Canis lupus familiaris: one gene and its partners. The main gene of each other region encodes a partner of the protein of the gene in region 3 in a complex. Links are inferred from orthologs where the notes say so. Each region holds a gene or a part of one and is shown on either strand. Other genes may lie near its edges.

What was found.
Region 1: PRPF38A (region 3) and ZMAT2 share a complex: the UniProt entries of both Homo sapiens proteins name them as parts of the spliceosome B complex. The link is inferred for Canis lupus familiaris from reciprocal best matches to the Homo sapiens genes PRPF38A and ZMAT2.
Region 2: PRPF38A (region 3) and SF3B3 share a complex: the UniProt entries of both Homo sapiens proteins name them as parts of the spliceosome B complex. The link is inferred for Canis lupus familiaris from reciprocal best matches to the Homo sapiens genes PRPF38A and SF3B3.

The regions. Positions count from the first base shown.
Region 1 is NC_049223.1:34,979,297-34,983,453, reverse strand, and holds the start of ZMAT2 (zinc finger matrin-type protein 2), read right to left. Parts: upstream 2,944-4,157; 5' UTR 2,898-2,943; coding exon 2,880-2,897; intron 2,545-2,879; coding exon 2,451-2,544; intron 1,388-2,450; coding exon 1,264-1,387; intron 1-1,263. UniProt on the Homo sapiens protein: Involved in pre-mRNA splicing as a component of the spliceosome.
Region 2 is NC_049226.1:77,067,311-77,070,956, reverse strand, and holds part of SF3B3 (splicing factor 3B subunit 3), read right to left. Parts: intron 1,566-3,646; 5' UTR 1,489-1,565; coding exon 1,419-1,488; intron 377-1,418; coding exon 50-376; intron 1-49. UniProt on the Homo sapiens protein: Component of the 17S U2 SnRNP complex of the spliceosome, a large ribonucleoprotein complex that removes introns from transcribed pre-mRNAs.
Region 3 is NC_049236.1:9,005,559-9,009,973, reverse strand, and holds the start of PRPF38A (pre-mRNA-splicing factor 38A), read left to right. Parts: upstream 1-1,495; 5' UTR 1,496-1,637; coding exon 1,638-1,767; exon of another isoform or gene 1,768-2,323; intron 2,324-4,078; coding exon 4,079-4,238; intron 4,239-4,415. UniProt on the Homo sapiens protein: Involved in pre-mRNA splicing as a component of the spliceosome.

The sequences.
Region 1 (4,157 bases), on a different chromosome or scaffold from region 3:
GAACAAGGGGTAGTGGAAGGGGAGGTGGGCGGGCAGTTGGTGTGACTGAGTGACGAGCATTATGGGGGACACTTGACGGGATGAGCACTGGGTGTTATACTATATGTTGGCAAATCGAACTCCAATTAAAAAAAAATACAAAAATTAAAATTAAAATAAATAAATAAATAGCCTGTCCATGTCTTACTCTTGGGAAGCCACTTGCTTTATTGTCAACAGCACTAGAGGCCCATGGGGCAAAGAAGTGAGGCCTCCAAAGCACTACATGAAAGAGCTTTCAATCAAATCATTCAGCCCCACTTAAGCCTCATATGAATGCAGACCCAGCAGACACCTTCATTGCAGCTTTGTGAAACCCTAAGCCTTTCCAGATTACTTACCCAAATTGTTAGCTATCTGTTTTATGCTGCTAAATTTTGGTGAGTTAGTTAATTTACACAGGAATAGGTAACTAATACAGAAAAGAATGATGTGAGGTGTTTTTTTTTTTTAAGATTTTATTTATTTATTTATGAGAAACAGGGAGGGGGGGAGAGAGGGGCAGACACAGGCAGAGGGAGAAGGAGGCTCCATGCAGGGAACCCGACATGGGACCTGATCCTAGGACCCCAAGATCATGCCCTGGGCCAAAGGCAGGCGCCAAACCACTGAGCCACCCAGGGATCCCTGATGTAAGTTTTCTAAGCAATTCAGACATGTCACTCATTGCTATCTGTTTTGCTCTCCTGCTAGAAAACGTAAATGAATACTGTAGTAGTGGTGGGCAAAAACAAAAGTCCTTACAGGACACCTCTTCTCATGGGTCATAGTCTTGGTCTAGGAGGAAAGTGTACAACCAAGCAATCCGTAACAACTACAACCTTTGCAGCCAGTCTGGAACCTCAACTCCCTTTATTCACCATCAACAGCTTCTAGGCTCCATTCTAGCTCGAGAAATCTCTCCCCTAGAAATGTTTTCAGGAGTCCTTTCCTTCATTTCTTCCTCTTCAGATATTAAGAAAGAGTTACAGTGCCAATATGAAGAGGTCTACAGAGTAACTCCTCCTAGAGACACTACCATGTTTAGTTGAGGCCTGGAACAGGAGTGACACAAAGAAATATCTAAAGGTAGGACTATTAAAAAAATAAATAAAAATAAAGATAGAATTATAAGTAACATGATTGCTATCCTGGAGCCAGAGAACCTCTCCTCGACACTTGCTAAAATCAACACAGTTTATTAGACCTAGTCTTGGCTCCTGAAAAAGATGAAAAGTCACTCACCCTCCCATCTCAGATTGTGGCGTGGTCTTGGTAATGACAATTGTCTTCCCAAGCTTGGATTCCAGGTCCACTTTATAGTCCCTATGCCGGAGAAGCTCCCGTTTGACTGGCTGTACTGGTTTTCCTAAAATATAAGACAGAAGAAAGTCCTTTTATTATTAGAGTTCCTTAAGCAGAAACGAAAAGAAATGCATGAAACCCAATACACAGATGTCTACTCTTCATTTCTTTCTTAAGCCTGAAGCAGGGGGCACAAAAAGCACTTGTAGCAGCAACTAGGGAGAATCTCAACACAGGAAAAAATGATATGCAATCCCTAAACTCTACATAGCTTTTTTCCACTTCAAAGCCAATAAGTCTAAAAACAAAGTTTTTTATTGTTAACTGAATTGAAGAAAGGAATTAATTTTCACAAAGAGTAAACTTTTAAAAGAAAAGCAAGGACACTCAGTAATACTTTCAGACAGATACCCCAAGTGTAACACACAAAAAAGAATCTCTAGAAGGCTGGGGAAGATTTTCTAAATGGGACCAACATTCAGGCAATATCTGTTACTTGCTACTGTACAAATTAGATCAAAACTAAAAAGATCAGTTTGTGCAAGGTGGTGTGAAAGTAAAGTGAAAGCATAAGAAAAAATAAGGATTCTTTTTGTATAATGGATTCTCTAACTAGGAGAGGAGAATCAACTCCGTAACATTGTACAAAGCAGAGAAACAGTACTACTAACCACCAGCTGAAACAATCACACATTCCTCCCAGTACCCTCACTCTTCTCAGACCACAGGGGAAGGACTTGATTGGACCAGTTATATTCTTCCCCTTAAGTGACTTCAACGGAAAGAGTTTCCTCAATAGGAGTAGTGCATAGCAGCAAAATACTCCACATCTCTGTCACTACTAAGGCTTCTCCTCTCTTCTCTGCACTTGAAGAAAGTACAAAACGAGCTAAGCAAAAAGAAGGCAAGAAAGCACAGGAAACAGAGCTGGGAAATACCTCTGAGTATATTCAGTCCATCTCTTTCCTCCCATTTTATACAGTAAGAAATGGAGAACCAGGGAGGCAACATTCAGCCAGAGGTTACACAAGGTACCAACCAGGACATCGCATTTCAACTCCCCACCCGCTCTCCAGCTATGGCTTCACCTCTACGATACCTCTGCCCTTTAGGGAGTAGGCACCCACCATCCTTCTTTTCTCTCTCTTCCGTGAGCCTCTTCTCGGCGAGCTTCTCATATTCATCTTTGTCCCACTTTCGGCGAAAGTCCAAGTTTTTTGTCTGTAGGGAAAAAAGCGCTCAAGATTCGTCGCTAATCATATCGGAACCCTAGAGAAACGGAGGGAACCGCGTCCACGCCGGCAAGGCGACCCCCCGGACCTGTCGAGAGCGAAGACTCTCCACACCGCACCAGAAGGCTGAGGTGGCCTCAGGACCCCAACCCAAGAGTTCTCCGCGATTCCACAGACCCTGTGCCAGGACCCTACGAGGAGGCTCTTGAACTCGGACCATTGGGCCGCAAGGAGGTGTCGAGAAGCCAGTTGGGTGCAGGATATTCCGCGCTACGAAGGCACCCTCTGCCCCCCGACCAAAGCCTCCTCACACACAACACCTACCCCGCTGCCCGACGCCATCTTCACTGCGAAGTGAATGGGAAGCCGGAAAATGACGTAAAAAGCGGCCCTGAGCCGTAAAGCAAGCTTGCCCTCCAATAAGCTTAGAGTTTCGCGTTCTAAACGAGCTAAGGACTTCTAAAACAGGGTCGTCGGCCCCTCCTCTGACCCACGGAAATGGTGCATGCGCATGGAGAGCATGAAGCAATACGGAAGTAAGGGCGCGTACTAATGTCTTTTGCCTTGGTTTTCTAAACAATCATCTGATTTAATTCAACTGGTCTATTTTATAAACAAGGAAGCAATTTGGATCAGGGCCCTTTGATCTAGTCTTAAGCAACTGTGCATCCGTTTGCCAAGTTTCTAATTTTTAAGGCTGAAGGAATTATTAGGAGCCTCTAGCTGCCCTATTTACCTGTATGCACTAAAGATATGGCCCGCGACACCCAGTGTCTCTAAGTTGCAGCCTTTCCAGCGCATATATAGAAAGCAATTTTTGCACACTCTTTATTTTGAAGCAATGCTATCATCATTCGGTTAAATCATTTTTCTTTCAACTGAGGAACTTTATAATCATTCAATCAATAGGGCACAATTTAATCAACATGATGGGACTTGGAAAGGCCAGTCATCAGCAACGCTGTAGGGTGAACTCTGGCATGCATCTCACTATGTTCATTTAGACGTGACTGTATTTCCAAGTTGATGGGGGGTGGAGTGGGGGCACTGGAAAACTGACTGTTTCCTTCACTGAATCCAGAAGCATCACCCCAGGGAGGTTGCTCCTAGTTCTCAGAATTGTGCAGTGTACACTTGAGGGTTTTCTATGGCCTATGCAAACCAATCTCTTGATAACAAATCACTCAAACTACTACATTTAGTATTTTATTTATTATCCAATCATTTCTAGAACAGCCACCTCCATAGGACAACATGGAACATAGTCGAGCAGTAATTCTGGCACAGGAAATGGTCTCCAAAATCTCAAAAGATTAGACCATCTTGTCAAGTCACCTATTAAATTCAACATTCAAAATTACTAAACAGACAGCCTCACTCTACTAACAGCAGTTGAGCTAGAGATGCCACAACCATGAGCACTCCTATGCCCTTAGGATAGCATCTCTGTCCTCAAAAGGAGAAGGCAGCCATTTGCCCCTTCCTTGCTATCTCCCAATACTCCCTGGACAAGCCAAGGGCAGGTTGTGGACAAATTTCCCAGAATCTGGTTCAGAAGCCACAATGGAAGGCCACGTATCTGACTTCTTATCTCAATGGTCC
Region 2 (3,646 bases), on a different chromosome or scaffold from region 3:
TGAGCATCTGTAAGAGTCAGAAGTACACTCAATAGAGCAAGTTACTCACTAATCATAACAGCTCGCCCTTTGGGATCCACAGCTAAGAACTGTCCAGGAACAATGCGGCGGCATCCACTCTTGCCAAAGGTTTCTTGGTGAATTTTCTCAAACATATTCTTAGATGGCTGGTATTCCAGGATAACTATCCGACCTGAGTCACTGCCAACCACAATGTAGTCTTTGGTGCCACCCGTTAGCCTAAAGGCCATGAGTGATCTGATAACACCAAATACTTCCACAGTTAGCAGAGTATGTACTTTGCCAGTGTTGGGGTCAGGGCGAAGCAGCTCCAGTATCTTCCCACGGGAAACAACAATTTCCTGTTGTTTGGTTCCTAGATTACCAAAACAATAAAGATCACGAACAATCAGAACTAGTCAAAAATAACCTGGATGGATCAAAATGCCCCTCAAAATAAATGTAAGTAAGTCGGGGGCTCAGTATTTTAAATTTTCTTATTCTATTTCATTCCCACGATTGATAGGATTTAACAAAAGTGGTATCAAAGAAAAAACTTTTAAAAATGGTCAACATAGTTCTTTAAAAAACATTTAGTTTTTCTAAAATGTCATTAATCCGCATAATTAGGAGATGTATACAAATGGTATTAACATATAATGTTTAGCTTCGTAAAATTAAGTATTTCCAAAGGCTCTTTCTAGCTCATCTTTAAGGCTATTGTTCTAGAAAATCATTTTAACTTTTTGTGCAATTTGATGGATTATTTCAAACAACTTTTAAAGCTGTTATGTAAAATATATAATTTACTTCTAAAGTCAGTCCTAAGAAAGTTCACTTGCCTTCATAACCATTATTGATACTTCTAAATGCTTAATAGCCAATTTTCCCCCATCTCTCCCTGTTTGCTACATAATTCCACTTGGATATGTTGTCATCATCGACTTTTAACTGGTTTAAAATAACTAAATTCCTTCTTCCCAAACTCCCTCTCTAGTCCCAACTAACCTGCTATCAATGTTACTATCATTTTCTCTGCTGCCCAGGCTGGAAATTCATATTCTTCTCGATCTGTCCCCACTTTCCTAGTACAGGTCTTTACTACCTAATGTCTAAATGCCTTCCAAGCCTATCAGATATCCCACTCTTATCCATCCCAATCCATTCTCACTTGCTCAAGGCCACTACTTATCAGGTCACCTTCCCAATGGTCCCCTCAGAATCAAATAAGATCAAGTACTTCAAATGGCTTTGGAGACTGTAAAGCATTATATAAATGATGTTGTCTGATGAATTAAGATACTTTCTCTATAATTTATTTCAGGAAAAAAGTTTGAATTTGGAAATGGAATCTGAAGCATGAAACTATTTAATCTTGAACATGTTTAATTCAGAAAGACAGTAACTAGAAATCTTACCAGAAAAGTTGCCATGAATGGCAAAGCTGATGCCTGTGGCTCGCTGCAAGGTCAAGTTGTATAGAAACATGATGGGAGCAGCACCGAGGTACTCACAACTCCACAATCAGGCCTCAGTTATATTGAGTCAAAATAAGCTAAGAGGACCTAAAAGCAGAAAAATATCAGCCGAGAAACTTACTTTAACAATTATTTTTTTAAGATTTATTTATTTATTCATTCATTCATTCACAAGAGACACAGAGAGAGGCAGACACAGGCAAAGGGAGAAGCAGGCTCCCCACAAGGAGCCCGTTGAGGGACCGGATCCCAGAACTCCAGGATCACAACCCAAGCCAAAGGCAGACACTCAACCACTGAGCAACCCAGGCGTCCAACAGATGTTTCTATATAGGAACTTCAGGGTGAAGGCAGAACCCAGAGTAAGGCTTACTGACTAACAACAGATTTATAACTAGGAAGTATTCTATATACCAGGGACTATGCTGTATACTTTGCCTCTATTCCCTCAAGGAACCTATAAATAACTCATTATTATACTAATTATATAGATGAAAAAATTAAGAAATTAAATCACCTGTCAAATTAATAACAAGCGGTAAAATCTTAGGATTTGTACCAGTATTCATTCTTTATGATTTACTTGACATAGGGCAGCCCCGGTGGCCCGGAGGTTTAGCCCCGCCTTCGGTCTGGGGCGAGATCCTGGAGACCTGGGATCGAGTCCCACATCGGGCTCCTGGCATGGAGCCTGCTTCTCCCTCTGCCTGTGTCTCTGCCTCTCTCTCTCTGTCATGAATAAATAAATAAAATCTTTAAAAAAAAAAAAAAAGATTTACTTGACAGAGAGCGTACACATGCATGCACGCACACACATGCCCATGAACACAGGCAGAGGAAAGAGGGAAAAGCAGGTTCCCCACTGAGCTGATCTTGGGATTGAGCCCAGCACCCTGGATCTCGACCTGAGCAGTAGGCAAACTTAACCAATTGAACGCCCCCAGGCGCTGTACCATTAATAGAACTCTATTTACCTTTACTGTCACAGAAACTAAGGAGCTCTACATGTACCTATGATTGCATAGGCTATACACACATGGTTGAGAATTCTTTAAAAACACAGCAAAAAGCTCCTTCTATCCATTCCCTAGCCATTCAGTTCTCCTCCCCAAGAAAATCAATTTTATTTAGTTATATGTCCTTCCAGATATTTTCACAAAAATATGTTAACACTAATACTTTTTAACTAGTGCTTGAATACTACATATTATAGGCTCCCTCATATTATCCTGCAACTTACTTTTTATTACTTTACTTTGAAGATAGCAACAAAGAGCTTTCTCATTTTCGTTTTCCAGCCATGGAGTACTTCACTGAATTTAGCCAATACCCTACTGATAATCATTTAGGTTCCCAATCTCACTATTATGAATACTGCTGCAAAGAAAATCTCTCAATTGGGGCACCTGGCTGGCTCAGTTGGAGGAGTGTGCAACTCTTGATCTCAGGGTGGTGAGTTTGATCACAGACGAGGTGTAGAGATTAAGAAAGAAAAAAAACTGTCATTTTTTTGGTAAGATTTTATTTATTCATGAGAGACACAGAGAAGCAGAGACATAGGTAGAGGGAAAAGAAGCAGGCTTCTCGCAGGAAGCCCAATGCAAGACTCGATCCCCCAACCCAGGATGACATCCCGAGCCGAAGGCAGATGCCCAACCGCTGAGCCACCCGGGTGTCCCTTTAATTTTAAGTAGGTTCCATGCCCAGCATGGAGCCCAACACAGGGCTTGAACTCATGACCCTGAGATCAAGATCTAAGCTGAGATCAAGAATTGGACACTTAATGACTGAGCCACCCAAGTGCCCCAATAAACTTAAAAAGAAGAGAGAGAAATAAAACCCCTCCTATATAGATCATTTATACATGTATGACTATATATTTATATATATATTTTTTTTTTTTTAGGACCTTATTTACTTATACATGAGAGTCACAGAGAGGTACAGACACAGGCAGAGGGAGAAGCGGGCTCCCTGTGGGGAGCCTGATGCAGGACTTGATCCCAGGACCCCGGGAACACGACCTGAACCAAAGGCAGACCACTGAGCCACCTAGGGTGTCCCTGTATGACTATATCTTTAAGATTAATCCCTAGAAGTGAAATTGCTGGATTGATGGACTCATACATTCGAAATACTGACAAATATTACCAAATTACCTTACAAGG
Region 3 (4,415 bases):
ACTAGCCACCAACTGAGAAGCCAAATGGACCTCAATTTCCTTACCCACAAAATGGTATGATAATAGAACCTCCCTTTAATTCAACCAATATTTATTAATCACCCACTGTGTGCCAGGCCCCATTCTAGGATTAAGTGAGAAAATGCAAAATGGCAAATTCACTTCCCCACTCCCTTAATCTCTTGCATTTATTTGTAAGAGACAGTGGATCTCTAAAAAAAAAAAAAAAAAAGAAAGAAAGAAAAAGAACCTGATGTTAGGAAACTCGCGTACAATTCGCACAACATTTTGCATTTACTTTCAGGGAATTCATAAACCTTCTAACATCCACATATTGACCTCTGTTATGTTAAAAAGTATTGCAAAAAGACCTGGTACACCTTGCTCTCACTGTGGAAACCTCGGCGGGCCTTCACAGGTACTCCTAACAGCCGCGACGAGGGTACTATTTTTACAAACAACTAAAATCGAAAACTGACATACCTAATCACTTTAGTTTCGCAGACAGTAGCCCAGGATAAGAACTTCACATCTCATGCCTCGAAGTCTAGTGCTTTTCCAACTGTGAAAACAGAAGGCGCCTCTATTCCGGGCTAGACTAAAGTAGAAGTAAAGTTGGATTTCTTGGACTTCTTTCCTAGAAAGAAGGTGCATTAGAGGCCGGCAATTAGGAGCGGCTCGGGGGGGGGGGGGGGGGGCTACTTGGGCAGGAGCGCAGGCCTCTTACAAAAAGCGACCTAGAGAAGTCTCTGGACTCAACTGCTACATCCGTAAAATGGGGCAGTAACTTCTGTCCCGCCTTCCCTGCGGCGCTTGGTTCGCGGTGGCTCAAAGGAGGGAAAGACGCAAAAGCTCCACAAGGGCAAAGCAGACAGGCGGCCCAGTTAAGACCACTTCTGAGAACCTCAGGCCGCTGAGGACGGGAACGCTCACGCGTCTCTAAGGTTGGCTTCCGGTGCCTCAACTGCACTCTCAGGCCCTGGGGGAGTGGGAAGCCCTTTATAAATCGGGATGTGGAAAAGAATGCTCCTAATGGCCTTGGGACAGGGCCTGGCAGTCAGCAGCGCGCAGTGGATATCCGCTGGATGAATCAATGACGGAGTCCCCAGAGAAGAACTTCTCCAGTCTCCGCGGCTCCGACCCCCGTCCCGCCCGGGACTGCCACTCACCGGGCACCGAAGCCCTCCGCTCCCACCGTCTCCGCTCCGGGAGTTCGTCGGGCCGCAGCGACTCCAGCCTGCGCCAGCTGGACTGCTCTCAAAGCCACGCGCCGCACCGGAGCCCAAGCAGGTTGAAAATGAACCTCGCTAGGCAAGGTGGAGAAAAGAAAATTTCGCGCCAAAAGCCATGGCCCCGCCCCCAGGCTGCCCCACGTTGCGTCACCAGCCAGCCCTCTAGCCCCGCCCACCTACGCGAGGCGCGCGCCGTACGTCCGCCAACGTGCCGCGGCCATCATTGATTCGGTGGGCGACGCTGCTGGCGGAAGGAAGTTCTTTCCTTCGAAGCATTTCCGCTTCCAGATGGTGGTCTGAGTTGCTTAGGCTCCCTCCGCCTTTCTTGGTCTCTCTCCGGTTCGCCTTAACCTGGATGTGACGCATTAAAGGACCCGACGGAAGTAGAACTGAAGGCGTCCTAAGATGGCGAACCGTACGGTGAAGGATGCGCACAGCATCCACGGCACCAATCCTCAGTATCTGGTGGAGAAGATCATTCGGACGCGAATCTACGAGTCCAAGTACTGGAAAGAGGAGTGCTTCGGGCTGACGGGTGAGCGGGCGCGCGCGGACCCTCCTCCACCCTGGTGGCCCCGTTCCGCGGACGGGGCGCGGGGTACCGGCCCCGGCGGGAGACTGGAGCGGAGTCTGTCAGTCACACAGAAAAATCTAGCACCTGCTGTGTGCCTGGATCGATGTTGGTTGGGCTTTGGGGACACGTGTGAGTCTGCTGCGGCCTGATTCTGAGGGTGTCTGTTGGGTTCTCTGCGTCTATTCATATTTAACGATAATCTCCCGAGTTCTCAAACCCTCTTAAACTCGGAGACTCTGAAGTCCTTAAAGGAACCTTAACATACCTGAAGCCCAGTTCCTGGTCTTTCGTTCTCTAAATCTGCACGATAAAAATAAATAAATAAAAAAAATAAATCTGCACGATGTGCAGTTATTTCCACGTTCGGGTCCTAATAGAAACCTTAGTTCTTCCGAGAAGGCTTCCAAGCCTTGCAGTCTTCGAATTCTGGCTCCTGATTTTAGTAGCTCTGCTTTGCCGGTGAACGATGTATGCCTTCTTCTGCTGTAGAACGGGTATCTTGCCCACCTCAACGATTCTAAGGAGTAAAACGCGTCATGTATAAGGAGAATTTGGTATGGTTACTGGTGTGTATTTTAAGAAGCACCCAGCACTACTCTGTGCCATCACTGTCGCTGCCACGACCGCTGTGTGTCCCTGGACGTGTCACATCGTTTTTCTGAGTCACCGTTAAATTTTGGAGTTATGTGAATTTTGGGTGAATTTTGAGGCCTTTTCTCACTGCAGGTTCTCTCCTTGTATGATCTTACCTGTAGATGCCTTCAAATTTCTCTCTTCAGCCCAGATCGCCCTCTGAGATCTCAATCTCTAATTAAACAATCAGGCCAACTCAGTATGTCCAAAAGTGAACGTGTGACCTTTTTCCTCCAATGCTAGATTATGTTCCCTTGTTGTATAATTGTATTGCATCCTGCATCTTATTTTAACTATTTGTCGCATTTCAATTATTTTTCCAATGCTTTCTGCCTTGCCAGACTGTAAACTCTGTAAGAGTAGTAATTTTGTTCTTCTTTATCATTCTACCTATATCTCTAGTATTTAGTACCTGGCTGTAAGTGTCAACTGTAATGTTGAATGAATTAATAAGAATTTATCTTAAAGGAACTTGAAATCTGATTTATAAAATGATTTTCCACTAATGGAATCTCTCATACATTATTTGCTGTGTAACATGTAGATGTTAACATTTATTTGTACTGTCTCATTTAACACTCACTATAGCCCTTAAACTTTTACCTTTACTGTTCAGATTTGAACTGACAGTCAAAAAGAAAAAAAGGTAAAAAGACTTGCCCTAGAGTTCATATAGCTAGTGTTTATTTTTGAAAACAATTGTGGAAGGTTGCTTTTTTTTTTTTTTTTAAGACTATTTGAAAGAGAAAGACCCAGAGAGCACAAGTAGGGAGAGGGGCAGAAAGAGAGGGAGAAGCCGACTCCTGCTCAGCAGGGAGACTGACATGGGACTCAGTCCCAGGACCCTGAGATCATGACCTGAGCTGATGGCAGATGCTTAACTGACTGAGCCACCCAGGCATCCCTTGTAGAAGGTTATTATCCCTATTCTGTGGATGACATTTACTTAAAGTTTTTTTTAAAAATTTTTTTTATTTATTATTTATGATAGTCACAGAGAGAGAGAGGCAGAGACACAGGCAGAGGGAGAAGCAGGCTCCATGCACCGGGAGCCAGACGTGGGATTCGATCCTGGATCTCCAGGATCGTGCCCTGGGCCAAAGGCAGGCGCCAAACCACTGCGCCACCCAGGGATCCCGACATTTACTTAAAGTTATGTAGTTATTGGGTCGTATACTGTTGCTGTTTCTTTTAGCTCCAGATTTGGCTGCTTTTCTCCAGACATAATGGTGATAGACATGGACACTGGAGATAGACTGCTTACATGTAAATCCAGGCCCTGCTACTCTCCGGTGGTGGACATTGAGCAAGTCACTTAACATTTCTTAGCCTTCATTTTCCTTATCTGAAAACAGCCTCTGTGCAGGAATTTCATGGCTTGTTGTGAAGATTAAATGAGATAATATGACATGCTTAGGAGAATACGTGGCATATAGTCATCCTTTCTTGTATATTGGCTGCTGTTATTATTATTACTATTAATACACACACTTCTAATATTAAATTGTTGATTAGTATTGAGGAGCACCAAACCTTGAACTAACTTATCTCCATTTCAGACTGGGAAGAGCTTGGCCCTAAATTATCTGAGATGCCACTTTGTTTTTGTTTTTGCCTTTGTTTTTTTTTTTTTTTTTAGCTGAACTTGTAGTGGATAAAGCCATGGAGTTGAGGTTTGTGGGCGGTGTCTATGGTGGCAACATAAAGCCAACTCCTTTTCTGTGTTTGACCTTGAAGATGCTTCAAATCCAACCTGAGAAGGATATCATTGTGGAGTTTATAAAAAATGAAGATTTCAAGTGAGTGAAATGTTGACTAGCTAATTTAAAAGCTTCAATTTCAGTGGGCCAGAATTTGGCTTCGGTTAAGAGGAGTGAAAGCAGTGTATCTTGTTTCAACAGAGTTCTACTCTAGGATTTTGGCTCCTGAGGTCTCCAGTGTGTATTTTGTCTGTTCTGATTGTATTGATCTTCTTT